2 linked regions of the Arabidopsis thaliana genome follow. The protein of the gene in region 1 purifies or fractionates together with the protein of each later gene. This does not show direct contact. Each region holds a gene or a part of one and is shown in the gene's direction. Other genes may lie near its edges.

The links.
Region 2: the proteins of JAZ12 (region 1) and CYS1 purify together in Arabidopsis thaliana (affinity purification with mass spectrometry, with the first as the bait; one study listed by BioGRID). This does not show direct contact.

The regions. Positions count from the first base shown.
Region 1 is NC_003076.8:7,087,238-7,094,798, forward strand, and holds JAZ12 (jasmonate-zim-domain protein 12), read left to right. Parts: upstream 1-3,466; 5' UTR 3,467-3,645; coding exon 3,646-3,770; intron 3,771-4,160; coding exon 4,161-4,263; intron 4,264-4,337; coding exon 4,338-4,518; intron 4,519-4,609; coding exon 4,610-4,667; intron 4,668-4,677; exon of another isoform or gene 4,678-4,867; coding exon 4,868-4,964; 3' UTR 4,965-5,302; downstream 5,303-7,561. Other genes in the region: AT5G20890 (TCP-1/cpn60 chaperonin family protein), read right to left, coding at 17-332, 432-917, 1,171-1,247, 1,473-1,588, 1,760-1,831, 1,930-2,058, 2,160-2,271, 2,361-2,426 and 2 more; AIP2 (RING/U-box superfamily protein), read right to left, coding at 5,426-5,575, 5,657-5,869, 6,144-6,340, 6,429-6,633, 6,906-7,073. UniProt on the Arabidopsis thaliana protein: Repressor of jasmonate responses.
Region 2 is NC_003076.8:3,920,172-3,927,621, reverse strand, and holds CYS1 (cystatin-1), read left to right. Parts: upstream 1-3,563; 5' UTR 3,564-3,685; coding exon 3,686-3,805; intron 3,806-4,141; coding exon 4,142-4,327; 3' UTR 4,328-4,352; intron 4,353-4,447; 3' UTR 4,448-5,031; downstream 5,032-7,450. Other genes in the region: AT5G12150 (Rho GTPase activation protein (RhoGAP) with PH domain-containing protein), read left to right, coding at 34-274, 346-564, 838-1,140, 1,579-1,628, 1,870-1,930, 2,006-2,089, 2,203-2,313, 2,406-2,575 and 3 more; PDE149 (integral membrane TerC family protein), read right to left, coding at 5,468-5,565, 5,663-5,720, 5,878-5,936, 6,052-6,130, 6,216-6,272, 6,418-6,467, 6,560-6,641, 6,734-6,790 and 4 more.

The DNA.
Region 1 (7,561 bases):
TATAAAGTTTACTTACAGCTCCAGTGATGACGTCGATCCCAGCGTTACACCCTTCAGTGTGGTGCTCTGCACGAAGCTGAGCAACCAATTCGGCACTGTCTAAACCAGCGTTGTCAGCGATTGTTGTCGGTATAGCAACTAGAGCACGTGAGAAAGCTTCAATGGCATGAGATTTTTTGCCAGCAGTTTTCCTTGCAAGCTCATCTACTTCCTTTGCCATCACCATCTCTGGCCATCCACCTCCAAGCAAAACTCTAGTATCATTCACTGTTTGAGAGAGTACACATAAGGCATCATGGAGTGATCTTTCAGCCTCATCTAGGACATGGTGACTGCAAGAAAAAAGAACCCATACAAAAATTGATTAGTGAATTAGAAACAGAATAAAGTTTAGACGAAGTCTTTCAAGTAATGGGAGTGAAAATGGATACCTGGCCCCTCTTAGGACAATTGAACAAGCCTGGCCCATTTCACAACCAGAGAAATGAATCAACTTGTCTTCACCAATCATGATTTCTTCTATAAGCTTGCAATGCCCAAGCTTAACAGACTCTGGGTTGTCAAAGGTCGAAGCAATTTCACCACCAGTAACCAAACCAAGACGCTCTATTCCCTCAAAGTCAGCATGCTCAATAGCAAGTATACCAGCATCAGCAAAGAGTTCCTCAGGGAAATTGTAGATCAACTGCCTGTTAACAAAGCAGTTGATTCCGTGGCCTATGATCTTCTTCACCTTGTCTTTCATTTTTTCCTTCTCAGCCCCTTCAATCTCAGCAACCTTGGTCATGGAATCCACACGGACACGTGCACCGTAAATCTTCACTTTATCGGTATCCATAGCAGTATTAGCTACTAAGATATTTGCATTCTCTATGCGCTTAGGCTGCCCAATTCCTATTTTCTTGTCAAGAATAAACCTACAGGCATAGATTTTAAGTTGAGGTGACATGAGACCATATTACTCGATAGAAGAAGAAACACAACACAACAAGATGACATGATGACTATCAACATTCCAAAATAACACTATAAATGAAATTAAGGTGCGTAAGCTATGAAGAAGAAAAGAAACACGACAGAGTTACCATGAACAGATGAATACTAAAGAAAGATCAATAGCTCAGAAAACTGAATTTGAACTGACGCCAAAGGCACAAAGTGTTGTCTTACCCTTCATCCAAAAACGAATCCTTCAGAGACCCTCCAGGTTTTTTGATGATCTGAATAGCTTCCAAGTTTGTGCTTCCCTGTTGAACGATAAAAGCAGAATGTCAGAAAAAAATCATATAACAATCCAAAACGAAACGATGCAACTATGGGAAAGACTAATGGTGAAATGATAATAGCCTAATTTCATGACATTTCGTCAAAGGAAGATCTTCTTTCATGAGATAACACATAAATCAAGAGAAAAAGAAGGAAGGAACACATGACATTGCTGAATCAGTTTCAAAAGGAGGAAGAAATGGAACCTTTAGCCTGAAAACAGCATCCACGGCCATTTCTGCAAAATGTTCCTTGTCCTGTGAGAGAATTTTGGAACATAAAGTAGTCATCGCAATCTTCAACAAGTCTGACCTAAACTTCTCTGCATTGACAAAAATACAATGCTGTAAAATAACAGTGTGATTTCCGTTCTGTATTCAACTGAAAGGAAATCACCGCTTGAACCCAACAGTCGAAGTAATCACACAAACAAGAAAATGCTATACTTAAATATGTCAGCATAACAAGGTTTAACCATCTCTATAATGATTACCTGCATTGTCCTTGTTATCAATGACTCTTTTCAGTAAAGCATTACGAGCACATTCCGAAGCCATTCTGTAACCTAAGAAACCAGAAAACGAAAAAATTAGAAATCATTGCCATAGTGAGAGAAGCTGATACAAAGTTGACATCTTAACACTTAAAGCTCCAAAAGTGTACCTGCTATGATGGTCATAGGGTGAATCTTAGAAGCCACAAGCTTTTCTGCTTCCCTCAGAAGCTCGCCGGCCAAGACAACAACAGAGGTAGTTCCATCACCAACCTCATCATCTTGAACTTTCGAGATGTCTGAAGAACAAACCAGATACAACGAACTGTGAGAGAAAACCCAACTAAGAAAAAACGAATGTGAAAACTTCATGCCAGAATGTCGCAGGGAAATTACATACCAACAAGAACTTTAGCTGCAGGGTTGTCTATGTGAAGTGACTTGAGAATAGTAGCACCATCGTTAGTAACAGTGACCGCATGACCTCTACCAGTAGATTGCAAGATTTTATCCTAAACAATAATAAAAAGGATTCAACAATAATCAATAGAACCAAATTGAAAGTTTGTAGCTTTCTAAATATTCAGAGATCGGAAATTACCATGCCCTTTGGCCCTAAAGTAGACTTAACCAGATCACTGATAGCCATTGCACCAACAAATGATGCCTAAAAGAGCAACAACAAAAGAAAAGAAAATCAGATTTAAACAGTAGAAGAGTGAATCTGAAAAACCCTAAATCCTAATCGATTCAAAAGACTCACCATCCTCGCACGTTCTCCCTTCTCTTCACTAGCATCATCTTTGAAGATCTTATCGATCTAAATACGAAATAGCTAAGTTCAGTTAACGGAGAGCACTGGGGAAAAGCAAAAGGATTGAAAGAGACGACGGAGGAACATTACCGGCATCGGGAAGAGCGGAAAAAGAAGAAGGAGGCTTCTTCAGTATCGGAGATATCCAAGTTAGTCGAATCTGAGACTAGCGAGAAACAATAGATGGGATCGTTCACGAAGAACGAACAAGCCGAGAGGATCTCGAAATATTGAGTGTGCTTTTGAAGAAGAGTAGAAAATGAGAGGAGAGAGCCAAAACCCAGATCTTTCGGAACCCTAAATGAAACTCGTAAAGACCAAACTACCCTCGTATTTCCCAGATTTCTTATGCGCCCTTCAGTAAAAACTAAAAAGTTTAGATTAACCCTTAACCAAAAAGTTATAAGTTACATTAAGAAGTAAATTTTATAGTTTCGACAATTTTGCATTTTGTTTGATTATATAGAGGAAAAAAAAAAATGTTCCATATACAAATTTGAATTTGGTGATGATTTAGCGGTCGAATACAAAAACAGAAATAAATTAATTCGTGATTTGTATGCGAATATTGTTACTAAAAAAAACTATAAATGTAAAGAGGCTTATAAAATAGAAAGAGAAACATTATAAATGTAAGCAGTCAAGGTCCATTTTAGAAGTCATTTTAAGACGACTAAGCCCAACAGTACTTTAAGAGCCCAATGAATCAAGGTCCAGCAAACTCAATTAGTTTAACGTCTCAGCCACTTATAAATTATACACGTTTGGAGTTCCGGATAACCGAAATGAGAAAGCATGTCCCACATAGAAGGCCAACGACACCGTATCATATTCGAGCACGTTTCTAATTACCCTCTTGTTGTCTTTTACTGTCGTAGCACCAAAAGTCAAACAATAAAAATCAATATCTATCGCCAGGTGTCAAATTACAGGAGCTTCTGAGAAGGATAAATCTCGGAGGTTCCCGGTCTGAACGACGTAGAGACGAAGCGAAACAAAAGTACTCTAAGGGAGAGAAGTATCAAAATTCTCATCGGAAAAAGACAGATCTACAAATTTTGAGAGACAAGCCATGACTAAGGTGAAAGATGAGCCACGCGCTTCCGTTGAAGGTGGATGTGGTGTTGCCGACGGTGACGGCGGCGCGGCTGAGATCGGCGGTACCGGATCTGTTGAGAAATCGATTAACGAAGTTAGGTATGAGCTGTGTTTACTGTTGATTTCACATGTTTTTATCTGTTTCTCTCTTTGCTTTGAGTTTAGTACTTAAAATTGTATCTTGTTTCTGATAAGGAAGATCAGCATTTCGATCTGGTTACTTTAGTTTCTATTTAGGGAAAGTCATATTTCTCAATGGAACCAATTTGTTTTTTGGCTGGAACAATTGGATTCTTAACAAACTTGTGTTTTTCAAAGTCCTTTAATGCATACATAAGTTTTCATGTGAATTTGATTAATAGAACTTCACCGTTAACATGTGAAATTGGAGAGACTGGATTCATATGTGGAGAGTTTTCTTAATGTTGCATCAATAAGTCCATCTTTATAGTGTCGGTCACAAGTTTAATAGATCTTCTGCTATTGAAGGTCCACGGAGATTCAAACCGCTGAGCCAACGGTTCCTCCAAATCAACTTACTATTTTCTTTGGTGGAAGTGTTACTGTGTTTGATGGACTTCCATCAGAAAAGGTTGGTCCATTAGAGCTTTGTTGTTGTCAGAAAAACTTCAGAATTTCTGTTCTCACTGTGATCTATGCCTATAGGTTCAAGAAATCCTTCGTATTGCTGCTAAAGCAATGGAGACAAAGAATTCTACAAGCATCAGTCCTGTCTCATCGCCAGCACTGAACAGAGCTCCTTCTTTCTCAAGCACATCTAATGTGGCATCACCAGCTGCACAGCCATTTCCTATTCAGCCAATCTCGTTTTGCAGATCCACGGCTGGTAAGTATTCGATTCAACTGGTTATAGTAATCTTCAAACCTTGAAAATGGATACTCTCATTAGTTTCTTACAATTATGTTTGCCGTAACAGATCTACCTATTGCAAGGAGGCATTCGCTTCAACGATTCCTCGAGAAAAGACGGGACAGGTATGCAGCCTTTAAAATTACACTTCATCCTTCTCCATTTCAATGGAAATTCAAATCTGATCTATTTTATTCAGTTTTTGATTGATTACTAATACAGAGCTTGTTAATGTACCTGTGAGAGACTTGTAAAGACAGATTGATCATAATGTTTAACCTTGATATTGCATCTAACAATAACATTCACTTTTTTTTATCTGCAGATTGGTCAACAAAAACCCTTACCCTACTTCAGACTTCAAAAAGACAGATGTCCCAACAGGCAATGTCTCTATCAAGGAGGAATTTCCAACTGCTTAGCAGAAGATCAAACCTCCACATTAAGCTTATAAGCAAACTAAGTAAAACGTTTTGTCAATATAGTAATTAATATGATAATCTATCATGTACGCTGCTGTGTGTAATGTGTTGTATGATAGTGTCTGTATAGGTTTGCTAGACAAACCGAAGATTGTTTCCATGTCTGGGAGTGGTCAGATATGTTTGCCATTTTACAATTCTACTGAAGAAACTATTGTAGTTAGTAACACTGTCCTAGAGTCTATCTAACTAATGACTCTTTGATGTTATGTTATTGAACTTGTCATCTCTTCAAGATACAATTGTGTGTAAAGTAAAGAAGTCTGTGTTGTTATTATAAGCTTTCATACAAAAGACATTGAATCTATATGTAAAATGGGATTTATAATTGTGAATGATGAACAACAATTCGGAGATGTTTCAAGGAAAGACAATGGGAGTGTGCCATAACTGATTGAAATTTAAACGTACATATATTCACCTCCGCGGACAGCATTCTCTGCGCCCTTCCTCTCTTCTTCGGCCTCTTTCTCTCTCTCTTTCCAGTTTTCGTATTTCTGATCGTCTGTTGGTAATTCATGGCGGCATATAGGGCAAGAGTTATGCTCGTCCTGCCATAAAACAATATGAGCATAAGCTTTATGTTCTTACTTACTAGTAAGCTTGAAAGAATGGGATTTTTTTTTTTATACCAGCCAAGGCTTTAGGCAAGGAGGGTGAAATGTGTGCTTGCATGGCAATTCCTGCATCTTGTCGCCAATAACTAGATTCTCCTTGCAGATGCAACATTCTGCCTCTGCTCCAAACTTTTTAAGCAATTCCTCGGTGAAAATAATGACTGGGAGTTTCTCTACAACTTCTTTACTTGCCGGTGGAGCTCTTGGTGGTCCACCATCATCTAGTATCTGCATAGAACACATCATATATCACTTTTCAATCATGAAGCTAAGAAAAAGACGCTACCAATACAATATTAGAGGTTGAGGTTAAACACTCTTGATACAGATGAGTGAGACAACCAAGTGGAGAAACTCAATATGCAAAAAACAACATATGAGTAGAATGCGGATGATTAAGAATTGCTTTCATCTCTATCTTTAGGTGAAGAAACTTGTGATATCAGCTATGTGTGATAGTACATAATCTAAAACTAGTAAGGAAGAAAAGAGAAGGCATTACATCTGGAATGATCATGTCAAGACCATTGATAAGTTCTTGCATCAAGTTAGCAGTTTCCCCAATAGTGTTTTCAGTAGGACCATTAGAGGATTCACCACCAACGATAGAAGCGAAAGCAGACATGAGATTCTGCTGTACTAGCCACTGAGGCTGTGGCGGCTCACGATCAACCGTAAGATGTCCCTCAAAAAGATAACCTGCAAAAAATTCACAAGAGAAATAAAAATCATCTCCAGATAAATTTCACTTAAAACCATCAAAAGCCAAACTAAATGTTTCACAAACCTTGTGAGCTCTCTGTTGGCTGATTATCTACTTCGCTTAACTGCTCCTTAGCTTGAGCAACGCAAGATTTCAAATGTTTCTTCTCAGAAGCATCAGAGACAAGTCGCTCAGCCTCTTCGAAAAGACTCAGTCCAGCAACCCAAAATCCAGTAGCTGTATATCTTGTCTTAAGAACCGTAGCGACACGAGATACAACTATATAGAACTGCAATGGCAATCAAATCAATACTATGTCACAGAGGGTAACTAAACAAAAACAGATCGGATTAAATGAAATTTTTGACATGAACATGAACTTTCTCCACAATTGAAATAGAAAAACAATAAAAGAAAGATATTTGATTCCTGATTCAATCCTCAAAAGTTAAACCCATCATCAGACATAAGCAATGAGTAAACGTCAAGGCAGGCATAAACCCTAACAATTCCGAATAATTTTGAATCTATTGATCCGAAAATCTAAGAATAAAAACCAACCTGTTTGCGGAGAGAAGGAGAGGAAGAAGAGTAGTGATCACGGAGAAGATTATGAATAGAACAAACGGATGCTTCGAATCTCAGCTTTTTGTTCAGCTGTTTCTGAAGATCATCAAGCTCAAGCTTCAAGCTTTCCTCGGAAGGAGACGGTGAAGACGATGCATCCATTCAGAAATTTATTTCTTAGAGTTAAGGAGAATACTCAGGGGTTTCGAATGATTTTGGGGATTTTGTAAGAATGATGCAAAAGAAGAACCAATCTCTTGTCTTCTGGGATTTTTGTAGGAGACGAGTTTTCTTGATCAGGAGGAAAGGACGAAGTCGGTCGGTTAATATAGTTCAGTTCGGTTTGGTTCGGTTCAAGACCAAAAGAACAATTGTTAATTACCAATTGTTCGGTTTGGTTTGAGACCAATTTTTTGTTGGTAAATACTAAATCGTATGCGGCTATATTAGACCAAACCGTATACATTATTTGTTTTTTGTAGTATGATTGTAACTGTAGATAAACATAGTGTATATTGGACTTTCTGAGCCTTCCACGCTTTAATTTGAGATGTTGAACGCAATGCCTGTGGACGTTAATATCATTAGTCTATTAATTTTGAACTAAGAATAATCTTAACACAAAAAAGAAGTCCATGGATTTACTAAAT
Region 2 (7,450 bases), 3.2 Mb from region 1:
AGCTTTATTCTTAGCGTGGGTTGTATTCTGCAGGATGCTAAAGATGATGCATACTATCACCTCTCATTCCAGTGAGAATCGCATGACTTCATCTGCTGTTGCTGCATGCATGTCCCCATTGCTCTTACGTCCTCTATTGGCTGGAGAATGTGATCTAGAAGGTTTTGACACTCTAGGAGATAACTCTGCCCAGCTTCTTGCTGCCGCCAATGCTGCCAATAATGCTCAAGCCATTGTCACAGCCCTTTTGGAAGACTATGGGAATATGATCAATGTAAGATTCCATTTGCCCCGTTAATTTATATCTGGTGCCACAATGCTATTTGCTCACCTATTTGTTTGCAGGATGAAGGTCTTGGGAGATGCTCCACTTCTACTGATTCTCATATTGGCGACAGTGGGCCTGAGAACTCAAGTGATGAAGAGGAAATAGTGGTTAAACATCCTGACTTGCATACTCTGGATATAGAAGAAGGGGAAACAGATGATGATAATGATGTTCTGCTAAGCAGAAAACCAAGCGAGAGCAGTGATTATGCTGGCAGTGATCTGTATGACTACAAGGTTTGTTCTTTGCCATCTTACTCCACTGCCCCATAAATCTTGGTCATAGTACACCTACATTCAGAATTCTAAAATAGGGGATAAGTTTGAACTTTGAAGTCGTTTCCATTTGTATGCATTCCGTCAACCATCTGCTACTGTCTTGCTATCTTTCGTTACGCCTAATGTGGTCTTTAGTTATGTTTGGTGTTTGAAATTTAGGTTTCCATTGCGAAACTGCCAGAAAAATTTATCCTAATTTATTCTTTTTTTTTAATATGCTTTTTCTTTCAGGGTTTTGGTGTTGAAGATTCAGATGCTGAGTCTCCTAGAGATATCCATTGTTCAGTCGAGAGTACAGACTTTTCCGCTAGAGTGAAAAAACATATTGAAGAACCTATTAAAGATATAGAAGTTTCTAGCGTTTCACCTACTGAAAACTGTTATCAATCAGGGAGAGAGGCTATACCCTCAGTTACTCCCAGTACTCCTCTCACGGCCCTTAGATACACAACATCAGCTGAGAAACCTGCAAGTAAAACTACTGGCTCATCAACAGTAAATTCGAAGCGTTCTTCGTCCTGGGGAAGAGGCAACGTAAGTTTTCCATTGTCTGGCATGAAAAGTCGAATTCTGTTGTCCTAGTCTCTGGAGCTGACTTGCTATGCATTTATTAAGTATTTATAGGATTTTTTTTTGTAATTTTTGTCTGTCCTTGTAACTCTTTGATCACCACTAGACGAAATTAGTTCTCCTGATCTCTATCGTTGTCAGGTCATGATATGAATTTCCCTTCAGTTTTCTTAATGCCATGCTTATTGGTGCTATAGGCTAGATGAGCTGTTTCCACTTGCATAATCCTATAAGAAAACTAACCATCAGCGTCTTAGGAAAATTAGATGTTACTGGAAGTCCCATCTATTTGGAATAAATTATCTTAGTACAAGTTAGTTGCATGTATGATGAAGTAAATAGTTGTAGGGAAATTGAGTTTAAGGTGATATCTCAATTCTTTTCTTTGTTTACTGTGTGCAGGGCAAGAAAACACCTGCTAAAGGATCATTTGATTCCTCAGGAAATGACGAGTAAGATAACTCATCCTGAATGTATACATTGTGGTTCTTTAACACTCCTATGAAACCTTTTTATATATATTCTATTGGCGAAACCCATATGAGATATTATGTATGGTTAAATAGGTTAAATAGGTCAAAAAGGTATTTACTGAAGCAACATTCTATTTCGCTTTTGAATTGAGAAAATAATTTTTTCTTTGTTCTAAAATGAGCTTGATGTATCCTGATGCAATGCGTTTGCTACTTGTAGGCTTCTTATACAGAGGCTCGAGCACATGAAAGATGAACTGCGACAACGAATCGCTAAGGAGGTACTTGTTCTTGCACTAGAAGTATTATGTGCTGATACCATAATGTTGTTGTATTGATTGATTAGACCACTACAGGCTAAAGGAAATGCGGCTCTACAAGCTAGCTTGGAGAGAAGGAAGCAGGCTTTGCACGAACGACGGTTGGCACTTGAACAAGATGTATAAACCTTCTCTTGAGATTTTACGTTTCTATCCTCTATTTTTTTTGGGGTATAATTTTGAGGGGAAATAAACTTCCATTTTGCTGACCAAGCTTGCCATGAAATTGTCAGGTGGGTAGATTACAAGAGCAACTGCAAGCTGAGAGAGACCTACGATCTGCTCTTGAAGTTGGTCTAAGCATTTCTTGTGGACAATTTAGCTCACAAGCTGCGGATTCCAAAGTCAGTATACACTTTAGCTAGAGAAAGCAGTTTTTTTTTTTTGGTTCTATCTCTTGCTTTCCTTAGTTCTAACATCACAATATAATGCAAAGACAAGGGCAGAGCTTGAGGAGATTGCTCTTGCTGAAGCTGATGTCGCAAGGTTGAAGCAGAAAGTCGCCGAATTACATCATCAGCTAAGTCAGCAGCGACAGCATCACTTAAGTTCACTCCCAGATGCTCAAAGCCATCACCAGTTTCTCCATAATCACAATACTCAACTGTGAGTTTACACTCGATGCCTGGTTCTAGCTCTTATTCAATAGTTCAAACGAGATATTACTCGAATGTAAACTCGCTAAGAGAAATAACAATCTATTTTTTTTCAAATTCGCAGGAAGTCTTTTCAACAGGACTTTGATTCCATTCTTGCTTTCGTTAATCACGAAAGAAATCAGAGAACGGTACAAATCTTATTATGTAACCGAGGAATCTCTATTATCTTATAAAAAATGATTCTATTATCTGTCAGTAACATTCTCTGCTATCGAATAATCTAGGATGAAACTAGCCTAAGAGCAGACTGGAGGAATGGCAGAGGAAACAACAGACAAGTACCAGGCTCACCAAGCTTGAATGCAGCATCCTTAGGCATCCCAATGGAAGAGTATTCTCCGGTTAGTGATAGTCTTGTTTAAACCAATCTCACGAGATTCAAATGTGTAAAAAGTGTGAGTAAACGGTCTTGTAGGTAATGGACTACGGAAGACATCATCATCCTCCTGCAACATCTGCAGCTCTCATGGAGCTAACCACTCGTCTGGATTTCTTCAAGGAACGACGGTCACAACTTATGGAACAGATTCAGAATCTTGACCTCAACTATGGTTCCTCTTCTTCTTCTCTGCACCGATCCTCTTCTCCACCATGGAATTAGGCTCTTTGAGAAGCTCTTGTCCAAAAAAATAGAAAAATGTAAAGAAAGTCTCGTCTGTGCAGACTCTTCATGCTTGTAAAACCGGTTCAAGGTTAAACCAACTATATATTTACCACGAAATTGATGAGAAATTGTTTGCTCTTGCTTCGTTGTTAGTGTGATTTATGTGAGTGAGGTTTGTAAAAAGTTGTGTGTATTTCCTCTGTTTTTGTTTCTACATTTTAAATGGTTGGCCGACATATAAATTCAGTTTATTGAAAAGAAGAAGTAAAAAAAGATTCTCTAGTTAGTGCTACAATGAGTCATAACCTTTTATTATTCCGGAAGAATTATTCTTGAAGGGAAAGAAAAAAACGCGCTTTAATCTCTATATATAACAATAACACTTTGGGTTTTAGACTTTAGATACGAATCAAAAACATTTGAGATAAAAATCAGAAAAGTAAAGAGACGAAAATGGCGGATCAACAAGCAGGAACAATCGTCGGAGGAGTTCGCGATATTGATGCAAATGCTAATGATCTTCAAGTCGAGAGTCTCGCTCGTTTCGCTGTCGATGAGCATAACAAGAACGAGGTACCATTCTCCCATCTTTTCCTGCCTTCATTATCCTAAAATCTGTTTGGTTGATGATCGAAGTTTATCTCTTAGCAAATCGCTGATTTTTCTCGTTCGATCTATCGAAATATAGGTCATTCTCATCAGGAATTGTTATTTTTTGTTTGAGAATTTAGGGATTGTGTCATTTGCTTCTGTACTAGTGTTGATTTGAAGATTTTGTTTCCAGAATGTTTATAAGAACAATTACTACCTGAGAAACATATATCCTCTTGTGTTGTTTAAATAAAGATTATAATAAGCGATGAGTTTTTTTCTTTCTTGTTTAAGCAATGATCTCTCTTATGTATACAGAACTTGACTCTGGAGTACAAGAGGCTCCTTGGTGCGAAAACACAGGTTGTGGCAGGAACAATGCACCATCTAACTGTGGAGGTGGCTGATGGTGAGACCAATAAGGTCTATGAGGCCAAGGTTTTGGAGAAAGCTTGGGAGAATCTCAAGCAGTTGGAGAGTTTCAACCACCTTCACGATGTTTAATCCGATGCCCTGAGCTTTCTCTGCGGTAAACACATCACATTCTTGTATGATACTCGGGTTGACACATAATTTGCGTTTGCTAATAGATGTCTTGTGTCTTTGGTTTCCTTTACTTTACAGGCTTGAGTGAGGTCCTTGTGTGCTCTCAGACCACGTGATAAGAGTTCTGGTTTAACCAAGTTAACTTCTTTAATAAGTGAAATCCAGTCCCATGTGTTTGAACTGGTATTGTGTGTATCTCTTGACTCTCGTTTGTGTATTGCTATTAGCAAACTCTCACTTTTTATCTATCTGCTTTGATTTTACAAAACTTCATGATGAAGATACAAACCATGAGTAAAAGCTAAAGGTGATGAGTATCTCTATCCCATTTCAAAATCATCTTGAAAACATCAGATGTTCACCTTGGTAGTTCAGGTATATCTCATAGTATCAGAAAATTGATTCAAGATGTAAACTTAGGTAAATTTGGATCATTGTCGGGTTTTGAAATGATATCGGTCTGTGTCGTTGAAAGTTTACAGTCAGTTGATCTGGTCATCTCCATCATCCTGTCTTTCTGCGGCAAACTCTACTCATGCTTGGTTCATGTTGCTAGGCTAGTAGGCTTCCTGCATCCAACTGGTCTCTTTTTACTCAATATTTAGGCTGAGAGTGTTGTCTTCCGCACCCTTCCACCATGAGTACCACCATAATTTGATAAGCCAAACACCAACTTTAGAGAGTGTCTGAGTATTCAAAGTCTGATTTGTTTGATCTTGTAATACCTAAAGAAGAGTTGTGCTTTTAGACAAATGGGAAGACTAATAGTCCAAAGGAATAATCTTATAAGATGAGCACCAAGCGGCACATGGGATGACTTGACGATCAAAGACAGTTCTACTCGTCTCAAAGCAATCATGGGGCTCAACCACATGTCTTCCAGACAAATAGATTTAAAGTGTCTTGTTCTTTGCTGCTTTTTTAACGACAAAACAAAAAGTAGAATACGAGTCTTGGAAAGAATGCCCTTTCTGTGTGTTTTATCTACAGTAACACATCAGCGAAATGCTTTGATGAACAATGCGATATTATTCTTATGAACTGTGTGGTTGGATACATCTGGATTCTGTTTCTCAGTAGTCAGCTCTCAGTTCTTAGTTAGCTGTCGCTGGATTTGTTTGTTAGGCTCAACAGTACTCCGGTACTGAGAGAAAGTGCAACGACACCAAGTGATGCCTCTGTTGATATGTGGAAGCCTAGAAAGAGGAAGAAATGTTGAGAGAGCTTAGTTTTTCTTGTAGATATATGGTTTAGTTCAAGCAGAAATTGCCGATGAAGAGAGAATATCTATACCAAAGAAATCAAGGATCATCTTGACTCCTATGAAGCCAAGAACAACTGCTATTGATGGCTGGGAAAGGCAAAGACAAGATTAGATACAAATCATACTAGTCCATGGGTACATAATGAGCATTACTGGCACTCTTAAGTATGTATCTGATGCTTAGCTCGAGTATGAAGTAATGAAACAGAATATGAATGAAGATTTAAAGAAGTGGTAAAGGTACCTGCAAGTATTCCAGCTCGTCCATTCCTTCAGAAATCAGTGTATAGAGAGACCTTAGTCCTGCGGCAAATTCAAACACCAGATGAAATAAATAAACTCTTCAATTCAAAGTTCCAAGAGTATTCAAAAGAGACAGGCAAGAAGTTAACAAAAATTGTGTTTAGGGAAAAAATACCTAGGATTGCAAAGAGATTAGAAGTCAAGACAATAAAAGGATCCCTTGTGACGCCAAAAACAGCTGGTATTGAGTCAACCTAAGAAAATGGGCAACCAGTATCAGTGATTTGCTTCATTTCTAAAGAGACAAAAACAGATTCACAAAGTGGTGACGGAAGTTACCGCAAATGCTATGTCACTGAGCTCGATCACTGCTACTGTAAGTAGCAATGGTGTGGCCTGCCCAAAATATTGTTGAAATAATTAGAAGTAATCAAAGGTACTATCATGAATGTTTTGATCATGGAGTCCACATGCAATAAAACTTAACAGTGACTTATACATAAACCTTGAATATATAGGAGGAATTTTGTCATATACTTACTTTCAAAATGCCATCATGCTTTGTGAAAAATCGATTTCCATCGTAACTTGCTGCAAGCAGTTATAAACAAAAGAAAAGAGGAATAAATCAGCTATGGAAGCATACCAAACAGTAAAAAGGAGAAAAAGACCGGGTATATTACATGTGACAGGAATAAATCTCTGGCATGTCTTTACAATGAAGTTGTCCGATAGATCTGTATCATCTTCTTCACTTGCAAATAACTGTATTAACACATTGAGGACAGAAAAACTAATACCATATCAATAATTGTGTGTGATTATAGGTATAAATGCTAAGATGAGGTAGTATGCACCTTGAATGACGAATATAAGAGTACAGCAGCAAGCAGTAGGTTGACTGCTTCAAATTTCTGAAAGAAAGTAGAGAGAATTCAAAAGTAAATGAGGCAGAAAAATGAAACAAATAATCACTAACAAATATTTTGATGTAAACATAGAAATCACCTGAAGAGTAGCTGTTCCTAGTAAAATGAGCGTGAAACGGAAAACAATTGCACCAGCTATACCGTAGGTAAGTACCTTATTCTATAGAAAGGGACACAGAATCAGAATACTCTGTAGTCAAGAGCTAAATCTCTGTGGCTCTGTGAAGATAGTTTTGGTACCTGATACATGAGTGGCACTTTGAAATACTTGAAAACAAGAACAAAAACAAACAAGTTGTCCACTGACAAGCTTTGCTCCAATATGTAGCTGCAAGAGTTGAAAACAGTTAAGATAGGAAATATCTCCTTGAAGAGTTAAGTGAAAATCAATATATCATATATAGTAAGCTCTACACACCCTGCGAAAAACTCTGAAGCCTTGCCAACACCTTCCTTCAAACCTATTCCAATTCCAAATGCCACCGCAGTGCCAACCTATTGAGATAACTATGAAATCAGGTCTCGCACATAGATCAAAAACGCATTATCACTTAGTAGATGCAAGAGAATACTAACACACAAGGCAACAGTCTTGAAGGAAGTTTTGTAAGTTTCTTCTTGTTGATAATCTTTCAGGCCTCCACT